3 linked regions of the Mus musculus genome follow. The protein of the gene in region 1 purifies or fractionates together with the protein of each later gene. This does not show direct contact. Links are inferred from orthologs where the notes say so. Each region holds a gene or a part of one and is shown in the gene's direction. Other genes may lie near its edges.

Region 1 (6,870 bases):
AGCACCGGAGAGCTCCGGGGCTGACTGCTGCCTCTTCCCTTCCCCAGGGCACCTTCCTGGAATGCCACCCCGACTTTCGTGTAGCTCACCGCTTCCATAAGGCCTGCGTATCCCAGCTCAATGGGATGGTCTTCTGTCCCCACTGTGGAGAGGATGCCTCAGAGGCCCAGGAGGTGACCATTCCTCGGGGCGATGGGGGAACACCCCCAATTGGCACCGCAGCTCCTGCTCTGCCACCCCTGGCACATGATGCCCCAGGGCGAGCGGATACCTCCCAGCCTAGGTATTGGCCTCTCCACCACCACCACCACCCGGTTATCCATCTTATCTCCCTTGCCCCCAGACCTCAAAACCTTTTTCCACAGCGCCCGAATGCGAGGGCATGGAGAGCCGCGGCGCCCGCCCTGTGATCCCCTGGCTGACACCATCGACAGCTCAGGGCCTTCACTGACTCTGCCTAATGGGGGCTGCCTCTCCGCTGTGGGTCTGCCCCCAGGGCCGGGCAGGGAAGCCCTGGAAAAAGCCTTGGTCATCCAGGAGTCTGAGAGGTGAGTTTGTGCTGTTTTCAGGGTGTGACTGGGCCAGAAACGCAGGTGTTGCTGTCGGTACTTAAATCTGAGCAGCCCACCTTCTCCCCCTCCATCCCCTGACAGGCGGAAGAAGCTGCGATTCCACCCACGGCAGCTGTACCTGTCGGTGAAGCAGGGGGAGCTGCAGAAGGTGATCCTTATGCTGTGTGAGTGTCTGACCCCACCCCGAGGGCTGTGCGTGAAAGGGAAGGACCCTCGGTGGCGGCAGCAGTGGTAACCTGTTGGTAATGGGCACTGATCCAGTGCACAACTTATAAGCTTTCCCGGCCTGGAGGCTGAGTGTTCCTCTAGTGCGGGGCAGTACTGAGGGGCTGGCACGGCTTGCCTAGTGGGGAATCCTGGGAAGTCTCTCTTGGTACAGGGCTGTCCCACCCCCAGCTCTCTTACCTCTTGTCTCATCTCTGCCTGCAGTAGACAACCTGGACCCCAACTTCCAGAGCGACCAGCAGAGCAAGCGCACGCCCCTGCACGCGGCCGCCCAGAAGGGGTCGGTAGAGATCTGTCATGTGCTGCTGCAGGTCAGTCCTCATGACCCTTCCCACTGTCCAACCCCTCCCCAGCATCCCCTCTCCCTGGTGCCAGCCTTCACACTGTCCTCACAGGCAGGAGCCAACATCAATGCCGTAGATAAGCAACAACGCACGCCACTAATGGAGGCCGTGGTGAACAACCACCTGGAGGTGGCACGCTACATGGTGCAGTTAGGTGGCTGTGTCTACAGCAAGGTGCGGGATGGCGCTGGAGAGCTGGGTGGTGGGAGGAAGAAGGGATACCTGGGCACGGGGTGCTAGCTGAAGGGTTCACTGGCTCGTGTTTCCCTCAGGAAGAGGATGGCTCCACCTGTCTACATCATGCAGCCAAAATTGGGAACTTGGAAATGGTCAGCCTGCTACTGAGCACAGGACAGGTGGACGTCAATGCCCAGGTTAGCAACCTGGCTGCCCCTCCTGTACACAGATTCTTTGGCTATCTGTCCCTTGGGCATCAGTCCCGCTTCTTCCTCAGCTGACCTGACCCTCCCCCACTACCTCCCACTGCCCACGTTGATTCCCTCATTTTTTTGGTTCATGGAACTCGACTCCCATCTCTTATCTCTGAGTGCGTCCAGTGAGGTTCCCTGTGAGCATTGGGGGGCGGGGGTGCATCTGTGGATACCCATTCTCTGGCTGTGGTTGTTTCCAGAGGTGCCCCTGAGCTCCTATTTTCTGGCCAGCAAGTCTGGGCCCTCATTCCCTTCCTCCTTCCTTCCCTCAGGACAGTGGGGGCTGGACGCCCATCATCTGGGCAGCCGAGCACAAGCACATCGATGTGATTCGTATGCTGCTGACCCGGGGTGCCGATGTCACCCTGACTGACAATGTGAGGGACACTCAAGGGGGCTCAGAGAACTTGGGGTGGGTAGCAGCGGGACCCCTATGCAGAGTGGGGGCTCAGTTCAAGGATTGTGTCACCTGCAACCAAGTCTCTGCCTCTCACCTCCACAGGAGGAAAACATCTGCCTGCACTGGGCCTCCTTCACGGGTAGTGCCGCCATCGCTGAGGTCCTTCTGAATGCCCAGTGTGATCTCCATGCTGTCAACTACCATGGGGACACGCCCCTGCACATAGCCGCCAGGGAGAGCTACCATGACTGTGTTCTGTAAGCCCTAGCTTCCCCAACCCCTGGCACCCACACCCCACTGTCCAATCTCTGACCTAGGCCTTATGTTCCTCTTCAGGTTGTTCCTGTCTCGTGGAGCCAACCCTGAGCTTCGGAACAAAGAAGGAGACACGGCATGGGATCTGACCCCAGAGCGCTCTGATGTGTGGTTTGCACTGCAGCTCAATCGAAAGCTTAGGCTTGGGGTAGGGAACCGGGCTGTCCGCACCGAGAAGATCATCTGCCGGTGAGTGCAGTCCAGACATCCATGCCCACTGCCACGGCCCACGTTGGCCAGTCCCAGGCCCCTTCCCAGGCACAGGACATCCCGAGAATTGCTAGAATCATCTTGCCACTAGGGGAGGTGGAAATAAGGGACTCAGCCAGTGAGACCCTCAGTGGACAAGGGAGCCTGTGGCCAAGCCTAACAGAGGTCAGTCCCTGGACTCACATGGAGAAAGTCAACTCCTCCAAATTGTCCTCTGGCTTACAAACACACCTCATGACACTCTCACACACAGTTGAAAAAAGCTGAGGGCAGGGTGTGGTGACCCACACCTGTAATCTCAGCATGAAGGAGGCAGACAGCTGATTGTTTTGAACTTGAGGCCAGCCTGCTTTGTATCTATGTAATAAGTTCCAGGCCAACAAGGGCCACATAATGAGACCTTAATCTTTAAACAAAAGAAAGAGGAGACGGGCATTGGTGGTGCACACCTTTAATCCCAGCACTTGGGACGCAGGGGCAGGTGGATTTCTGAGTTTGAGGACCCCTGGTCTACAAAGTGAGTTCCAGGACAGCCAGGGCTGCACAGAGAAACCCTGTCTCAGAAAACAAACAAAAAAGGACAAGAGAACAAAAAGGACATGTTTTCCAAGCCTTCGAGGTGGTGGAGGCTGGAGGATTTCAAGTTTGAGGCAGACACCCAGATAGATAAGAATTTCAGAGAGGAGCTAGGTGTTACTTGTGATCCCTTCTATTCTGAAGGCCAAGGAGGAAGACTACCTCTTGAGCCTGCATATTGGAGGCTCAATGAGACTCAAAACTTAAAAAAGGAAAAACAAACAAAACAAAAACAACCACAAAGCTAGTGTGAGGCGGCCCAACTGCTGAAAGTGCGTGTGGAGTTTAAGCCATGAACCCACCAGAAGGAGAGAGCTGCCTCCCGAGGACTGCCCTCTGAGCTTTCCATCTCATTGTATCCTGTGCACACCACACTCAGACATGAGGCTGCTCGGGCCAGGCGGAGAGTGGTGTAGACCTTTAATCTCGCTCTGGAGGCAGAGGCAGAGGCAGAGGCAGGCTGATTTCTGGGTTCCAGGGCTGTACAGTGAGATGCTGTCTCAAAGAAGGAGGTGGGTTGCCGGGCGTGGTGGTGCACTCCTTTAATCCCAGCACTCAGGAGGCAGATGCAGGGGGATTTCTGAGTTTGAGGCCAGCCTGGTCTACAAAGTGAGTTCCAGGACAGCCAGGGCTATACAGAGAAACCCTGTCTCAAAAAAACCAACCACAAAAACCAACAAAACAAAAAGATATGTAAGTTTGTAATCCAGATGTGTTCTGTGCAAGCTGAGTACTTTGGTGTTTGTCTGTCCTTATAGCATCTGAGGAGGCAGAGGCGGGAAAATCATAACTTCACGTTTAAGGCCAGCTGGGGCATTGTAGCAAGACTCAGTCTCCAGCTAAAATTTAAAAGTCCAGAGTCCATTGGGGTGGTGACATATGCCTCTGACCCTAGCACTCGGGAGCCAGGGCAGGAGAATAGACTGTCGAAGTCATTCTCTGCTATCTTTCAGTCTGGGGCCAGCCGGGGCTATAGGATGCTGTATCTCACCAAGGAATGAGAAAAGGTCGGGGCTGGGAACATCGGTCAGTGGGCGAGCATTTATTGGCCTAGTATGCACCGTGCTGTTGGGCTCAGTCTGCATTCTCACCAAGAAACAGAAATAACCCAGTCACTACTTGGGACATAACTATTTCTTAGCCGAGATTGTTCTCCGTGGTGTCTTTGTTTGTTTTCAAGAACGTCTCCCTGCATGTGCTGAGATAAAAGTGCCAGCACCCTTAGATCAAGGAATCCTCCCCTCAGAACTACTCTGCCCCACTTTGACCTTATCTGCCCCTTCTGTAGGGACGTAGCCCGAGGCTATGAGAATGTACCCATCCCCTGTGTCAATGGTGTGGATGGGGAGCCGTGCCCGGAGGACTACAAGTACATCTCTGAGAACTGCGAGACATCGACCATGAACATCGACCGCAACATCACCCATCTGCAGGTAAGGCACAGCCCCGCTCACCATGCTGTGGGAGCACCTCCACACCAGGATGGGGGGCATGAAGACTCCCCCTCACACTGGGACCACCACCACTCACTGTCCTGGAACATGAACCCCACTCACTCCTACTTTTCTCCCACAGCACTGCACGTGTGTGGATGACTGCTCCAGCTCCAATTGCCTATGTGGTCAGCTCAGTATCCGATGCTGGTATGACAAGGTACGTGACCCTCACCTGGCAGGTCTGCCAAGGAGCCAGGACCCTGCTGTGTTGGGGAAGAGACACAGGGTGTGGCAGGAAGCCCTGCCAGGAATGCAATGGGCCTCTCTGCTGGAGTATATGCAAATGCGCGCTCTAGTGCCTGCGCGCACACTTCCTGGTCTCTGACCTCAGCCTGCAGACTCTGCACCTTGCTCTTCTGCTCTTGGCTGGGGTCAGAGTGGAGTTTCCTGTGGAGTCCTCTGGGTCCAGGGCAGCTGAAATGGGCCCCACAGAGAAACCACTATCCCCTCCCTCCGCACCCCAGGACGGGCGGCTGCTCCAGGAGTTTAACAAGATCGAGCCCCCCCTGATCTTTGAGTGTAACCAGGCATGCTCCTGCTGGAGAAGCTGCAAGAACCGCGTGGTGCAGAGCGGCATCAAGTGAGGCGCGCGCCCCGGCACCCTGCCTCGCCTCCGCCTCCCCTCCCCTGGGGCCCTCCCAGGTGTCCCACACTCAGTGTGACTCCCTCTCCACCTCTAGGGTACGGCTGCAGCTCTACCGGACTGCCAAGATGGGCTGGGGGGTCCGAGCCTTGCAGACCATCCCCCAGGGCACGTTCATCTGCGAGTAAGTTCACTGTGAGGCCGTGGTGCATGAGGGCTCTGCTGACCCTAGAGCTCCATGTCAGGATACATGTCTCTGCTCGCCCACCGAGTGTATTTCCAAACATCATGTCCCCCCTTTACCTGCACGCTGCCTAGATGGAGCATGCCTGTGGCAGACAGATCTGTAAAGTGGAGAATAGCTTTTTCCTGTGCACTTCCTCCCCTCTGCCGTCAGACTCACCTAGGTTCTCTGTGGCCTTTAGAGCAGAGAAGCCCCTTCACCTGCTCCGAGGACCTCCCAGTTTCTCTGTTCCCTCAACTTCTCAGACACCCACTTCTCTTGGGCAATTCCTCTTCCAGCCACATGGGGCGACCTCATGACTGATGTAGCTGCGCAGAGCCTACCACCTGTTTGATAGTTCCTGGTGCACACACCTCCTAATGTCTAAGCCTGGCAACTTTCCACCCAGCCAGCCACCAGGGATGCTAATCCCCAGAACACAGGCTCACACACACACACACACACACACACACACACACACACGTCATCTCCCACCATGCCTGCTCAGGTCTTGCAGGCTCCACCTGTACAGAGCCTCCCACCTGCCTGTCTACAGCTGCACAGCGACCCCTAGTGGCTGGACCATGTCCTGCATCTCTCCCCTGGGCTCTGAGAACTGAGTGGGAAGGTGGGGCCGGGAGCCCTGCTCACTGTTCATGCAGAACTGAAGTTTCCGTCCAACAGGTATGTAGGAGAGCTGATCTCTGATGCCGAGGCTGATGTGAGAGAGGATGATTCTTACCTCTTCGATTTAGATAACAAGGTGGGATGCAGCACCTCTGCCCTCAACTACCAAAGGCTGCTTTGTGCAGCCACCTGTAACATCTGGGACTGGAAGCCTGGGTGGAGGGACTGGGTGTCACTGCAGGAACACTAGCCAGGCAAGTGGATAGAAGTGGATATTAAGAACACTGTGTCTCCACCCCCAGGATGGCGAGGTTTACTGCATTGATGCCCGTTACTATGGCAACATCAGCCGATTCATTAACCACCTGTGTGACCCCAACATCATCCCTGTCCGGGTTTTCATGCTGCACCAAGATCTACGGTTCCCACGCATTGCCTTCTTCAGCTCCAGGGACATCCGGACTGGGGAGGAGCTGGGGTGAGGAGCCAGCCTGAGGGCACTGACCAGCCTTTGGTGTTCTTTTTTTTTTTTTTTTTTTTTTCCCGGTTTTTCGGGACAGGGTTTCTCTGTGTAGTCCTGGCTGTCCTGGAACTCACTCTGTAGACCAGGCTGGCCTCGAACTCAGAAATCTGCCTGCCTCTGCCTCCCAAGTGCTGGGATTAAAGGTGTGTGCTACCATACCCGGCTTCCTTTGGTGTTCTTAGGTGTCCCTTGGAAGGCTTGTTAAAACTGTGTAAGGCAGGAGTAGGAACATACATTCATGATCACAGCACTCAGGAGGCTGAGGCAGGAGGATCACAAAGAGTCTGGGCTACAGAGTGAGACCCTGTGTCAAAACAAAACAAGAGAAGTCCAGGTTGCCCTGGT
Region 2 (7,568 bases), on another chromosome or scaffold:
TTATTCCCAGGAGTCTGAGATTTGAAATATTTTAATCTTAGGAAAGGGGTGAATTTCTAAGAACTTGTGCAACATGACTTGGAAACCTAGTTAGCAGAGTTTATCAGCTACATTATAACAGTTGCCCTATTTTCTGGTGTCATGACACCTTCAAATGCTAACACTGGAATTTTGATGGCTTTATTTATAGTTTTAGATGTGATCATTCATAAACAGCTTGTAGAGTCGTACAGCATCAAAATTCAGAAAATACTGTTCTTGCTCATTCATGTAAATACTCTTTATAAGTGCAGGCTGTCCAGGTGCATGTTTCAGACATCACAGCATGTCTCTTCAACTGAGTTTGGTAGCATAAGACACATCATTGACCTCTTCTTACTATTCCTCTCCCCATTTGCTGACAGTGGCATTATGTGAAGCTCGTTTGTAAGGTTGCCAGTGCATTCTGTTTGTATCCACAGTAATTTACTTACATTCTGCAAGGATTTTTTTTTTGTAATGTGGCAAGTTTAACAACCCATAAGCTCTCCAGCTCTCCAAAGAAAGATTGTATCTGTGATCTAACACCTACCCTTGCTGTGTCCTACATCATAGAGGCAGACATTCTGTGGATTTACCTCAGAGGTGGAGGGAGTAACTGATCTCTAGTATTTCTCTGAACTCTTTCCAGAGTATGAATCACTTAAAAGTCATTCCAATTCTAAATTGCCCACTGCAGCCACTGTGGAAAAGAAGTGTATGGTGTTTGGTCGTCCATATTAGGTGTGATGAGGAACCTGGTTGCTGTAAGTTAGACTGTTCTGTGATACATAGCCAAGATAACGCAGAACTTGTGGTTCCAACAGTGCATTTACGCACATGATGGCCATGGTAGGAAGGGGTGTTGCCCATATTGCATTTTGGTAGCAGAGAGTTCCAGTTGCACTCCATCAAAATGCTAATGGATAAATTATTAGGTTTTACTTGATTTGTCTATTTATTTATTTTTTTATTTTTGCTCCAGAAGCATTTGTTGAGTCTCTGCTATGTACCAGGCTCTTGACTGACATAACTAATGACAACATTAGAATTTTCCAGAGCTGGGTTATTTATCTTTGAATTAGTTATTCTTCAATACCTTACTGTTAGTCTCTTGTTTTAATGATTAATAGGAAAAAAGCAAAACCCAGTGAGTCTTAGTTTTTACTTTGAAATAAACAGGTGACAAGAAGCTGGCCGTCGGGACTGTGCTCTTCCATTCACTACAGTTTGTAGTTTGCTGCGTGCATTTCTGTTACCTTCCCACTTGTCTGCTGTGAGGAACTGTGGTCTCTGGTTCTGTAATGGCAGCACCTGTTCTTTTGGAATCTGGACTTGGAACAGCCCACATGGCAGGTCCATTGAGCGGCCCATCCCTCTTCTCTTACTTGGAATTGTTTCAGGGGATTCCATGGATGAGAGAAGCCATTTGAAGGATTCTGGTGTTACATTTGGATCCTTCACTCGCAGCCCTAGGGATGCGCTCTTTCTTCTCCCTGCTCCTTGACAAGCAGCATCTGCAGTCACTGCCATCCCTTTGTCCAGAGGATCCAAGGACTGCAGAGCAGTGTCCTACCCACTAGTTCAACGATAAAGTGTTTTCTTTCAGTGACTCACAGACTGGAATAAATAATTAAGGGAAAAGTAATGGGAAAAATGTCAAAACCAACACTAAAATATTTGGTCTACCCTTAAAAAAAGCTTTTTGTTTAAATCACATTTTAAAAGCAAACCACTGGAGAAAATATAGTGTGAAAAAATGAAAAGAATAGTTGGCATCAAACACTGGATCCAGCTGTGAACTCAGATAATACAAATTTATAGTTACTTATACAGCTCACACGTTTGCATGATTGTACATGTAACAGGTTGTTTACAAAGGAAAACTGAGCTATGTTGGTCTTGAATTTCAGTGGAAATTGTTTCTTCGTTGAGCTTTGTATTATTACATTGTTGATATTCCATTGCCCAGTTTGCTAGGGTTACTTAATAGAATAATAATCAAGTGCATATTTAATTAAGTAACATTAAAAGTTGTGATTTTCCTAGAAATAAGACGTTTAGAATTATGTATGCTCAGAAGTTAAAGATTCTCTGTATTGTAATTATTGACTGAGCTCCCAGTTCTTTAGTCATATTTTCTCAGTTGTACCTGAGTGTTGTATTTGGAGAAAGCGACTCCAGGAGAATCTGCTCTAGAAGCCACTAAGAGTTAGTGCATACCCTGAAAACAGAGCTGAACAGAGACTTTCCTGGTGTAGTTGAGCTGTTGTGACCTCTCTGTTATGTAGGTGTGTTTTAAATATATGAGAAATTAAGTTTTTCTCTTCCCTTTTTAGCCATAGATTGTAAGCAGAAGAAATCAAGGTCAAGATCTGGAAGCAAGAAGAAAATGCTAACGTTGCCTCATGGTGCTGACGAGGTTTACATTCTCCGATGCAGGTATATGCCTCGGTTGCTTTGTGTGCTACGGTCCCTTTTCCAGGTGTCCTTTGAGACACAGTAGTTGGCATTTTTATTTTGTGGCTTGCTCAACAATAAAGTGATAAATGATTTTTTTCAGCTTAGAATCATAACTTATACTCATATGTTTGCTTCAACAACTGATAAAATTATGTCTGTACATTAGCCAACTGCTGTATTATACTGCAGTTGGTAGAAGTGGTGTATTGGTTGTTGTGCTTTATATACGTGGTTAATTTGGTTTGGTTTATTTCTACTGTTCCTGCTTACTGAGAACATATTTACACGTTTTCTTTTCCTTCATGCACTTTACAGATAGAAACACAGACATCATGTACTTCTGAATTAGAAAAGGGTCTTTCAAGAGATACACTTTGGAATAACTCTTGTGAATGAATTTAGATGGTCTAAAAGTATTGACTGGGGCAGGAAAGGTGGCTCAGTAGCTGAGAGCCCTGGCTGCTCTTTGAGAGAACCCATGCTTGACCTCCATCACCCACATAATGCCTCGCAGTATCTGTAACTCCAGTCTTGGGATCCTACATCCTTTTCTGGCCTATAAGGACACAGGCATGCACATTTGGTGCACAGACAATACAGGCAGGCAAAATACCCATTATACACGTACATTTTTTAGAAGCTTATTAATCTTAAATAATTTCCAGTCTATTAAAAATATTGACATTTCCTAAGTCTATTAATAAGGGTGTAAATTGATTGGTTTAAGTTAATTTAAACCAGTAGTTCTCACCCTTCCTTATGCTGAGACCCTTTAATAGAGTCCCCTTTGTTGTAGTGACCCCAGCTTATAAACTATTGTTGCTACTTCATAACTGTAATTTTGCCACTGTTATGAATTGTGACGTAAATATCTGATATGAAGGATGGTCTTTGGTGACTCATGTGAAAGGGTCATTTGAACTACAAGGGGGTTGCGACCCACAGGTTGAGAACCATTGATTTAAATTTAGGTGTGTTCCATGTGGTATATGGTGAGATTTATTTCTTACATTGTGGGCTTTATATATAAGTTAGTTTTAAATAGAGTTCGTTTAGTTAAGAAAACTATTATTATCTACTTCCCTCATAGGTTTTGTGGCCTAGTCTTTCGGGGACCATTGTCTGTTCAGGAAGACTGGATTAAGCACTTACAGCGTCACATTGTAAACGCTAATCTTCCACGGACTGGAGCTGGCATGGTGGAAGTCACATCACTACTTAAAAAGCCTGCCTCTATCACAGAAACGTCGTTTTCTTTACTAATGGCAGAAGCAGCATCATAGAACCAGGAATCCTTTTCAATAGCAAATTTAATTGGATGTAAATTTAAAATTTGTGTCTTTTTTTTGTAAGCCACATGAAAGTATCCATTATAAATACTAAAGTAGGAAGAATGAGGGACCGTAAATTAGAGTGGCATCGGAGCAAACAATACTTCAGACAAGACAGTAAGTAGTCATATATTTTATATAGGGTGGAGATGTGTTCTTAAGGTTTACTAAGTTTTGTTGGCTGAGTTTACTCAACTAAAGGTCCTACATCTGAGAGCCATTTGTAAAGTGTTGCACATGAATCCTTACAGACAGACTTACTGAAAGATTATGTTCTCTACAGTGTTACCAGAATCAAGGCTCTGGTTTTTCCCCACACATAGAAAAATAAGAAATTATATTTTGTTGGTATGTATTTAGTGTTTTGTATAATACCAGGAACTGCTAACTAAATTTACTCAACTTAGGGCATTAAATATCATGTACTTCATAGTTTGAGACTGTTCCCTCAAATAGGGCAGAGTACTATTCTATCTAGATGTGTTAAGTGTTTTTTTAAAATCATAATGGAACGGTTTTTTTTTATATATATATACATATATATATATATATACTAAAAAGTTGGAGCGAGATTTGTTTAAACAAGTATTTCTAAAAGAAATATTGTACATAGTCCTGGAAATTATTTGTGGTAAGGAAATATTCTTTAATCCAGTTGCATTTCTCAGACAATGAAGTGGTGCGTCCATGCTACCTCCTGCTTTGTCAACAAAGATGCTATTTACCCTTTCCATTTGTATCATAATAGATTTTAAAAATCTAATGTTCTTTATTGCAAGACATACTTTTGTTAACAGATTTGTTTCTTTGTAACGTTTTCCATACGTTTGACATGCTTACAGGACAGGGTTGTCTTTATTTAACATTGTAGAAATGTAATTAATAAACAAGGCTCACTACACAATTTAGAATAGGCTTTCTCATTTATATTCCAAATTTGATCATTTAGCAAAACTATTGATACACAAAATATTTCTACATATGAGAATGTTTACAATTTGAATTTTAGAAGTTGTTTTTGGATGTGATTCTATGTATGAAAATTGTGTAACACTATGCTCATGCTAAGAACCGACTTAACAGAATTACTGAAATAAATGTGCTGTGAGGAATGGACAGTACGGTGCAGGTGTCTTGGTCATGATAAACTGTGATGATTCTTTTAAACACTTTCCAAAAACAACTTAGTTCCTTTCATCCTGAATGAGCGTCGTTTACAAACAGCAGTTTGTATGCAAGCACCATTCCGCTTCATTTCATGGTGTTGCTAATATAGTTGAACCAAGGATATGCATTGATACTTTTCATAATTTGTAAATAAAGTTAAAAACAGTTAAAGGAGTGTTTGGTAGAGGTATATGTATATATACCTCACTGCCAGTGAAATTACTTTCCTATGGTATATCTCCTTGCCAGAAATCACTAAATAAAAAGACTTCAAGAATTACAGTGCCTCTAATGTGAAACATTTGTTATTTTTTTTATTTCATGGGAAATAGTCCATAAGGTTGTTTTATTTAGTTAGGTTGTTTATATTTACCAAGTTACTTTTGTTCTCTAAAAACACTACATTGATCAATATATTTCATGTGAAGAAATATTTTCCCATTATGGTTAATAAACATCTTAATTAGGTGCTAGTTAGTGTGTAAAATCAGGAGGTTGTGTTTTATTTTATCTGAGCCAAGGGTCCTGCGACCCCTAAGGAATAAGATAATGGAAGGACTTTTGAACTCCTGAAAGGCCAGGAGGAAACTTTGCTTTTGTCTGAAACTATGAGGTGTAACTAAAACATCACGTTTTGTTACTCTCAACTGAGAATATGCCACGTCCTTGTTGATATTGATCACCTCTTACTGAGGATGTCCCATTGGATTTCCATATGTGTATTTCCATATGTGTATTTCCATATGTGTATGCGCTCTGTTTGTTTGGGGAGGGTCTCACTGATTTCCCTGGGCTGGCTTTGAACTCAGAATCCTCCATTTCAAGCCCTTCTGAGACTGACTACACCAGTGTGCACTATCCCTGGCTCAATATAGTTTTTGAAACTGAACCATATGCAAACAAAGCAAGTAGAATTCAGAAGTTTAGAAAAAAAATTGACAGGATTCCTAGTTGGAAGACTTGGAATTTTTAGAGCCTCTTAGATTTAATTATGACTTTTTTTTTTTTTCCTAATCATGACAGCTATCAATGTATAGGAATGCAGGAAGAATTAGTATAGCCACATAGTTCAGAATTAAACCCAAGATCTTCCCACATAGTGTAGAGTCGTGTCCTTTGCAAATCAGGATGCTTGGACTTCGTCTCCCCACCCCACCCCCACCTCTCCTCCCCTCTTTTCCTCCGTATCTCCTTTCCTTCCATTATTTACTTTTTAGGAACCATCTCTTCACTTATTTTTGTCAGGAGGGCACAGCACATGTGTGCAGTCAGAAGACGCTTGCTGTAGTTACTCCTTGCACCACACAGGTTCAGTGGTCAGATGTGGGTTGTGTGCCTTGTACAAGCAGTCTCTGCTGAGCCACCACACACTCCTCCATGTCTTGATCTTGTTCTGTTGCTCTAGCCAAGTTTTGAACATTGTATTGGGTGAGAGAGACTAGAATGGGTACATTTGCCTCGCTCCTGGTTCAAAAAGGAAACACTCTGAGTTTTCAGTATTTATAATGTTGGGTATAGGCTTGTGTTGACATCCATTGTTACATTCCTCTCCGCCTGGCTTATTTTTCAGGAAAGGCCATTTCTCCAGTTGTATGCTGTCTGCCTTTAAGTCTGTACATTGCATTTAACATTTATTGACTTTCCTGTGTTGCACCAATCTCAGTGTAAACCTGTGGTGGAATCAAATCGGTCAGGGCATGTGTTTGTTCTTACTGCTATGTTCTTGAATACCAAATGGTTTGTGTGGATTTTATTGAATTTTTGTGCTGTGTTGCCTCTCTTGATTGCCAGCTTGACACATTGTAAAAAGGGAACTTGGGTTGCTTCCATCAGATTGGTCTGGGGGCGTCTTATTGATTAATATTAGAGGGCCCAGCCCACTCTGGGTAGTACTATGTCTAAACAGATGAACCTATGCTGTACAAGAAAGCCAGGGGAAGCAAGCCAGGAAGCCCAATGTCCCTCTGTGGTCTGTGTTTCAGTTGCCTCCTGGTTGAATTCCTGCCATGGTTTCCCTCAGTGAAAAAGGGTTTGACCTGAGAGTAAGAAGATGAAATAATTCACTTTTTCTTCTCCATGTTGCTTTTGGCCATGGCCTTCATCATATTACAGCACAGAAAGGAAACTGACATGGTCACGACTTACTTAGTCAGGGAAACTGATGTCATTTTCTCTTTTTGTTGTGTCCTTATCTGGCCTTAGTCTCATAAAATAAGTTTAGGCGTGGTTCCCTTTCCGTTTTGTAGGTTAGACAGAGAGTGCAGCAGCAGCAGCTTTTCCTTAGGAGTTGTGTAGATCCCAGCAGCAAGTCATTGGGTTCTGGGCGGCCCTTTATGGACAGGCGAGAGACGGCAGCTTCAGGCTTGTTCTTCTGAGTTATTGTTTGAGTTTGTGTCATCTGATGCTGCCGTGTCTTAAGTGTTGTCTAGGAGTGGGTCCATTTTTTTTTCTTTCTGTATTTCTCTAGTTTTACTTTTCCAGTTTGTTTTCAAATTCTTTTATAATCTTCCCTCTGGATTTCGTTGGAGTTTGTTGTAACAGCCTGTTTTCTGTATTTTAATGTAATATTTTCTCTCTTCCTTAGTTTAG
Region 3 (7,568 bases), on another chromosome or scaffold:
GCCCAGGACTGGGCCCATCGCAGTGAGATCACGCTGATCTGTGTAGTGGCTAGGCAGGGATGGCTCCTCTGGGTTGGGCCCAGTTGCACTGGGGATCTGAAAACCCAGTCTACTTCTGTTCAGAAATCACTTTGTACTCCCAGTGCCCTCATCCTTACCTCTGTACTTATACACACTCCAGCTTCAGTCCCACCATTTTGAGCCGTTTTCTGCACATCTTAAAGTCTTGAAACTTGCTGTGGACTTGATGTTTTCGTTAGCTTCGAACCTTCATACATAGCACTATAAATGTGTAGTTGACAGGAAGTGTTCACATCCAGGTACAGTTGTGAGGCATTGACTTGAATGTAAGTGGCAGTCAGGATGGATTTGTGAACAGGGGTGTGCAAATTTAACTTCAACTAATTTTAATGTTCAGCATTGTCTTTAAGGGAATAATAGTCATATTATTTAACTTGAAGGGATTACATGGATCGTCTTTTGGATGAAAGTGAAAGTGCTGCTTCTAGCCGAGCACCATCCCCCCCTCCCACTGCCTCAAATAGCAGTAACAGCCAGTCCGAGAAAGAAGATGGCGCTGTCAGCAGTAGGAATCAGAACGGTAAGCCGCTTGGAGATGCACCCAGTTCTACACTGTAAAGGACACTTGGAATGGCTCAAAGAATGCACTGTAAACTAACTAATAAGAAACAACACACATCCCATGACACTATGGAGTCATTGGAAAGAGTTCTTAGTGGCATCTCAAAATGAAATGTATGACCCAAGCTACACAGGGAAATTCTCGTTAAGTAGCATCTCTTCTCTGATCCCAGCTGAGTGGGATAATGCCTAGGCTTGAGCCCTCTGTTTTCATCAGAAACATGTTTCTTTCTCCATTAGTTTGAGAAATTGTTACATGTACTTTAATCTAATGACTCAAAGTGTAGGTAATAACTAATTTTTGAATGTTTGACTTTGCATCGTAACCTGAACAGTGAACAGATGTAAAGCAGCTAGCTATCAGCCTGGGCATGGGTGTTCTGCAGAAACGTTTATTCTCTTTCTCACATGCACATATGTCACACACCACACATACACTCACATCACACACATATGCATACCACACACCACACAGCACACACATACACAAACCAAGACAGTGTTCTTCAGAGTATGTGAAGGTCCATCTATAAGAGCTGTTCTCAGAATTGTTTTGATTTCTACTTTAACTGTCCCAAGTAAGAATATTATTGAGCAGAAAATAGCGAGCCTGATTGCGCAGCATCTTCATAAGGAGGAAACTGGAGTTAAGAACCGAAATGGGAGAGCCATGGAGAAGATGGACGAAAACTGGCAAAGCTTTGACCCCACACTCACTGTGGTGGCGTATTCATTACATAGTGCACTCCATGCTCCTTTCCTGTGTACTTCTCTCTGTACAACCAACCAGACAGCAGATCTCTCTGACAGACACATGAAACTCCCAAAAATTCCCCTCCCAAGAAAAAGAACAAGCTGGACACACAGAATGTGGGTCTCAGTGCCATGCAGGTCTGACACTGCTTGTTAGACTGCTGTCCTGCTGTCAGCTGTGCCTTTGTGAATAACAATGTAAGATGCAGTGCGGCTGGAACTCAGAACTGGTGTAGATGCTCAGGGAGTTCAGATTCTTGGTTCTTTTGCTTTAACATCTTAACACCAAGAAAATCCTTTCCTCTTTTAGCTGTTTGATAGAGAAAACACTGTTAGAGTAAGATAATTTTCATAAATGACTGAAAAAATGCTATTTAGCTCAGAAGAGATCAGGTAAATATAATCCAAATTTTCAGGTTTTTCAAAAAAAGAGTAGAACTTCTTAGCTTAATTTTTTTATATACTCAATTTTTTTAGCTTTATTTCCTTTTCAGTTAATGCACCAAAATAGTATTATAGTTCTTTGTCCTTAATCAGTTTAATGTAGTTTTTTAGACTAGCTAGCACAGAATTATTTCTTTAGTGTTACATGATGCATAGTTCCTATGTGCATTCAAGAGTTGGATACAGCCGGGCGTGGTGGCGCACGCCTTTAATCCCAGCACTTGGGAGGCAGAGGCTGGTGGATTTCTGAGTTCGAGGACAGCCAGGGCTACACAGAGAAACCCTGTCTCAAAATAAAATAAAATAAAATAAAATAAAAGACAGAAGAAAAAAAAAAGAGTTGGATACATATTAAGCTGAGAATAATTGAGTATTTTCTTTGACCAAAATATAATCTTTGAGAATTATTCTTTATGTTGAATATTTGTTACATAATTTAGATTTAAATATCTTGGGCTGGAGAGATGGCTCAGTGATTAACAGCACTAGTTGCTCTTCCAGAGGTCCTCAGTTCAATTCCCCAGAAACCACATGGTAGCTTACAACCTAATAATGGGATCTGACATTCTCTTCTGTCATGCAGACATATATACAAATAGAGTGCTCATATGAATGAATGGTTTGAGTATCTCTAGTGCCGTAGTCAGCTCTAATATGATCTTTCTGCTACTTTATTTAATTAGAATAATTTTACTTTTTTTACCTATTGTAGATGGTTAAGGTTCTTGATGCATACGATCCAGAATGGCTTCAGCCTCAGATCCCACCTCCTGTAGGAACAATGTCAGTATATTCTTACATAGTAGTGCTTGTGTGTATGGTGTGTATGGGTGCTGTGTGTGTGTGTATGTGTGTGTGTAAGGAGGAGGGGGGGGAAGGAGAGAGACACTGTGTGACCTGAGAAGGCTGGGAGAAGGTGTTAGATCTCCTGAGATTAGAGTTATAGGTGGTTGTGAGCCACCATTTGAGTTACATACAGGTGCTTGTAAACCTCCCTATGGATTCTCGAAACTGAACCCAGGTCTTCCTCTAGGAACGTTAAGTGTTCTTAGCCACTGAGCCATTGCTCCAGCCTCTTAGTACACTTTTAATATATGCCAGGGTAAAATCCATTGTTTTAGTTGATCATCAGCTGTGTAACATGCACTTGGTTTGGGTCTCCTGGTGTGTAAGGAAGCTGCAGTGCAGCCGATGGAGACCTTGCTATGTCTGCTGGTAAGCCATGGCCACGCCACAAGTGAGTGCACTCAGATTGGTGCTTTCCTTGTTCCTTGTTGGAAGTGTGTATTGTAGCAGATATTTCAGAAGAGTTGACAAGTTTAGCTTTTTGTATTAAGTTTCATTTATCTCTCTCCAAATGTAGGTGTCTCATCTAATGGACCAGGAGAAATACTAAACAAAGAAGAAGTAAAAGTTGAAGGGTTACATGTTAATGGACCAACAGGTGGAAATAAGAAACCACTTCTTACAGATATGGACACTAATGGTTATGAAGCAAATAACCTGACCACTGACCCAAAACTTGCCCATATGACTGCAAGAAATGAAAATGATTTTGATGAAAAAAATGAGAGACCTGCCAAAAGGCGGCGGATAAACAGCAGTGGGAAAGAAAGTCCGGGCTCATCTGAGTTTTTCCAGGAAGCAGTCTCACATGGGAAGTTTGAGGAACATGAAAACACGAATGACTAACTCTTAGGCCTGTTTCACTTTCTTTGCAGTAAAGTCTGGTTTGACTACAATTTTCAGGGTTGGGGGGTGACCTTTAGAAAGCTGATTTCCTTAAAGCAGTTGGTTAACTCTTGAAATTTGAATTAAGTCCTAACTTTTAAGAAATGGGATTCATAATTCTACCTTTTACAAGTTCTTTTACTTCAAATTTTTGAAGCCCTCTTTAAGGATATAAAAACATTGGTAAATTTGAATGACCCAAAGACTTAACTGCACCTTCTCCTTTGAAAACCAAATCATATATTTGATTAAAAGGTAATCTTTCCTTATTCTTTATGAGGAAGAAAAGAGTTTGTGTTTCTGCTCAACATCAAATTTTTTATTATCTGGAAATGTCTTTACAACAGACATTTTTCTCTCCATACAAATTGAACATCGTTACTAAGGAAACCCTCATGAATCCTGAAGGTTATGCTAGCATGATTTTTATATGTAGAAGTTTAAAAATAAACCAAGTCAGGTTTGTATTTGTAAAATTGTTGACATCAATGATGTCTTTCCATATTCTTATCTGGGCTTAAGAAATACATTCTGTATTTTTCCAGATTCTTTGTAGCCTTTGAAAGATTTTTACAGTACATATGTCTTGACTGAGCTGTCTTTTCTTAATACAAAAAGCTTGTATAATTTTCTTAACTTGTACAGTTGGTAAACTTTTATGAGAGGAACTGATATTCTGAGTCTGTCAGCTTTCATTTTATTTTGCTAAGATTTTTCTAATGACTTTTTAAGTGTGTGTGTAGTTAACCAAGTCATGTTTCTTATCCAGGTGGTAAAAGCATTCATAAAGAATTATGAACATGCGTTATTTTCAAACTTCTACTTACTGACAAATAATTTGGGATGTCTAAATTTCAGCATGATACTCAGATTACAAGCTTGTTTGCATTTGCTATAATTTTATAAATTAATTTTGAAACAAAACAAAAACTTACCGTCAGCTTAAGTGCGTAGATGTATCATGCTGAATAGAATCCTGTTCAGTTGCTCTCATGTGCCCTATAAGATTTCTCATCGTTTCCATTAAGTCAACAGAAGGGGAAGACCAGGTGATGTTGCAATATTGCCACATCCAAGGAGTAACTGTTGACAGGTAGCAATATTCATTTTTATGAGAAAATAATGGTTTTAAGAATTTTCAGATTTTTCCAGTTGTAATCCAGTTTGTCAGATTTGATAGTTTTTCCAAAATGAAACACATACAAAATAATCATTGTTCTGTGTGATTTTTAAAAAGGGTTATCTGCACTAGCCTTGTATGGATGGGTGCCATTTTATTTTTAGTGCAAAATTCTTCTTAAAAAATGTAGTTTTTTACAGCTGATAGACCAATCTATCTCCAGACTGTTTTTTAGCGAATGATTATTAGCTATGTTTTCTCACACAGGCACATCCCCAAATGCTGCTTTCAGTTTGATCTCAGCCATCAGTTCAAGAGCCAATGCTCTCAAAGGCAGATCTGTGCTCCTTTCACAGGCTCAGTTGTCTGATGCAGGTTGGGTAAAGGTTCGCACTGAGAATGATCGCCCAGGCCTCTCCCTCAGAGTATTCTTAGATTTGTCCAGACTGCTTCCTTTCCCTCGACCAGTATTGGAAGGCACTTTGACAGTACATCACATAATATGCATTTATTGTTTTTGCAGAAATATCCCAGTAAGTCAGTTTCAGATGGAAGTGCTAAGAAGCATGAGAGGATTTTGTTTGTTTGTTTGTTTTATTGAAAACCATTAATTTATCCAGAATGGCAGTAGGTCAAGTAGCTTTAGCAGATGGATCATAGCCTCTGTTTCCCTGCCCACCCCCACCCATTTCTATTATCTCTCTTTTTTCTGTGTTTTTTTTTTTTTTTTTTAAAAACAACAAAAACAAAACAGAGTCTCACTGTGTAGCCCAGGCTGGCCTGGAACTTAACAATCCTTCTACCTCAGCCCTCTAATGCTGAGATTGAAGGTGTTTCCCACCACACCCAGCAACAATCTATTCTCTAAAGCAGGTTTTATTAAATGAGTTCAAACCATTCTAACTCTTTGTCACAGATGGTCTCTAGGAATGTTTTTTTAAAAAACAGTGATGCTTTTTAATCATTACACTATTGGAGGTGTCAGCCCACCTTTTAAAGGCTACAACTGCTGGGCAAGTTCCTAGAGTTCTTGAAACTGTTGTTACAGGAACTTTTTAAGGAATTTCTCAGGCATGTTGGGAAATGTGCCAGGTGTATATGTGTTCATATATCTTACTTTTCTTTTTAAAGTATGCATAATGAAACATTTCTCTAATACACGATGCTCAGCTTTTCCAAACTACATTGTTCTGTGTTTGTACAGGTATTTCACCCTTTGTTCAAAACTGCAGCCACTGAAACTTAAGTCATTGCACTTTTAAACAACTTGGCAATATCATGAGTAATTTGTTAAAGGTTTAGTATATTTCATAACTCTTGAGCACTTAAGTAATTGAGATGAGAAAATAAGCCTTCAGGAGTAGGGATGTAGCTCAGTAGTTTGACTGTTTTGCCCAACGTGCATATGAAGCCTGGGTTCCATGCCCAGTACCACATAAACTGGGTGTGGTGGCACATGCCTGTCATCCTAAGCACTTGGGAGGTGGAGGCAGGAGGATCAGAAGTTCAAGGCCGTCCTCACCTACATAGTGAGTTGGAGGCAAGCCTGAGATACCTGAGATGCTGCCTCAAACAGAAATGTCTCTGTTGGTAGTTAGCATTGTCATTTTCCTTTGAAACACAATGTTTATGATGTATTCTCAGTAAGGTTCAGAATCTGTAACTCAGCTCAACGCGGATCTGTTGAGCTTTAAAATGTATTTGAAGTAATTTAAGTAGGCATTCAAAATTATAAATTAGATGTTTTTAAATTTCTGCATAATAATTTGCACTGTAAAATATGTCCTTCCTCCCATTTCCTTCTGCCATTCTGATATGCTCATTAAAATATTTTTGTAAACATACTTGTGTGGTGTCTAGTTATTTCACTGTTTTAATTTCAGTGTTTAAACTCTGTGCTGCTCGGAACACACAGTGAAGGTTGTACTATCCCTGTGCCTCCATGCCCACGAACAGTGCAATCAACGGTTTTTCTGTGGTCTTGGTTTTAGTTACCTGACATTGGATTGTTTTCTGTCTGTCTTTTTTAATATGGGGGGAGGTGTTGGAGTTTGTGTTTTGTTGGTTTGGTCTCTTATGTAGTTCTGAGTGAACTGGAGCTTACTACATAGACTCAAGAGATCTGTCTCCCAAATGCTGGGATGTTACACCTAGACATGCAGCCCAAACTGCCTTTGAGCTTGTTTCAAGTGATAGAATTAAAGTATATACCACCATGTTGGGGCCGGCCAGTGGCTCACATGTCCGGGTTCGAGCTGGAAGGCATCTTGGAATCTGGAAGAAAAGAGGGAGCCTGGGCAGGTTGAGAAATAATGGAACCAAGACAACTAGTCTGCTCAAGGTTCAAATTTTTAATGGCAGACACCCTTTATAAAAGGGGGAAAGTCCATTCCCGCCAATTCATCCTTGGAGCCTGGAACCAGCTGCAGGTGATAGGGTGTAGTCTCCAGAATAGCTCCAGGCCTCAGCAGGTAGCAGTATCTTGAAGAGGAACAGCAGCAGTGGCAGAATAGAGTGATCTGGGGAGGAAGGCTCCACCCTAGGTAATCTCCTTAGTGGCAGCAAGGTCAAGTTCTGGCTCAGCCTGCTTCAGGCTTGTGGGAGGCTACACCACCACACCTGGGAAAAGGGGTATATCTTTTTTCTTATCTCCCCAGAGAGGCTTTACTCTGAAGATCACCATTACCCTCATTCTCTGAACTATATAATTAAAAATTATTAGTTTTCTTTTTCAGTGAAGTTCATACCACTTATTTTGCAAAATAAAACATCACAACATTTATTGTTCTGTTGGTAGGTAACCCATAGTGGTACTTGGGGTATCTGAGTGTTGGTTCACTTTCATAAGCAACAGTTGCAGTGTGTCTAACTGACAGTC

The links. Proteins that work in one complex are often made in the same cells at the same time.
Region 2: the proteins of Ehmt2 (region 1) and Zfp644 purify together in Homo sapiens (affinity purification with mass spectrometry; 3 studies listed by BioGRID and IntAct, with this or other methods). This does not show direct contact. The link is inferred for Mus musculus from reciprocal best matches to the Homo sapiens genes EHMT2 and ZNF644.
Region 3: the proteins of Ehmt2 (region 1) and Mier1 purify together in Homo sapiens (co-immunoprecipitation; 3 studies listed by BioGRID and IntAct, with this or other methods). This does not show direct contact. The link is inferred for Mus musculus from reciprocal best matches to the Homo sapiens genes EHMT2 and MIER1.

Annotation. Positions count from the first base shown.
Region 1 is NC_000083.6:34,906,330-34,913,199, forward strand, and holds part of Ehmt2 (histone-lysine N-methyltransferase EHMT2), read left to right. Parts: intron 1-47; coding exon 48-283; intron 284-365; coding exon 366-548; intron 549-623; coding exon of another isoform or gene 624-653; coding exon 654-736; intron 737-1,001; coding exon 1,002-1,108; intron 1,109-1,192; coding exon 1,193-1,315; intron 1,316-1,413; coding exon 1,414-1,515; intron 1,516-1,844; coding exon 1,845-1,949; intron 1,950-2,074; coding exon 2,075-2,229; intron 2,230-2,308; coding exon 2,309-2,476; intron 2,477-4,361; coding exon 4,362-4,506; intron 4,507-4,648; coding exon 4,649-4,726; intron 4,727-5,033; coding exon 5,034-5,149; intron 5,150-5,249; coding exon 5,250-5,336; intron 5,337-6,059; coding exon 6,060-6,138; intron 6,139-6,304; coding exon 6,305-6,480; intron 6,481-6,870. UniProt on the Homo sapiens protein: Histone methyltransferase that specifically mono- and dimethylates 'Lys-9' of histone H3 (H3K9me1 and H3K9me2, respectively) in euchromatin.
Region 2 is NC_000071.6:106,614,432-106,621,999, reverse strand, and holds the end of Zfp644 (zinc finger protein 644), read left to right. Parts: intron 1-2,357; coding exon 2,358-2,460; intron 2,461-3,571; coding exon 3,572-3,764; 3' UTR 3,765-5,259; downstream 5,260-7,568.
Region 3 is NC_000070.6:103,159,221-103,166,788, forward strand, and holds the end of Mier1 (mesoderm induction early response protein 1), read left to right. Parts: intron 1-461; coding exon 462-601; intron 602-3,202; coding exon 3,203-3,531; 3' UTR 3,532-6,534; downstream 6,535-7,568. UniProt on the Homo sapiens protein: Transcriptional repressor regulating the expression of a number of genes including SP1 target genes. Probably functions through recruitment of HDAC1 a histone deacetylase involved in chromatin silencing.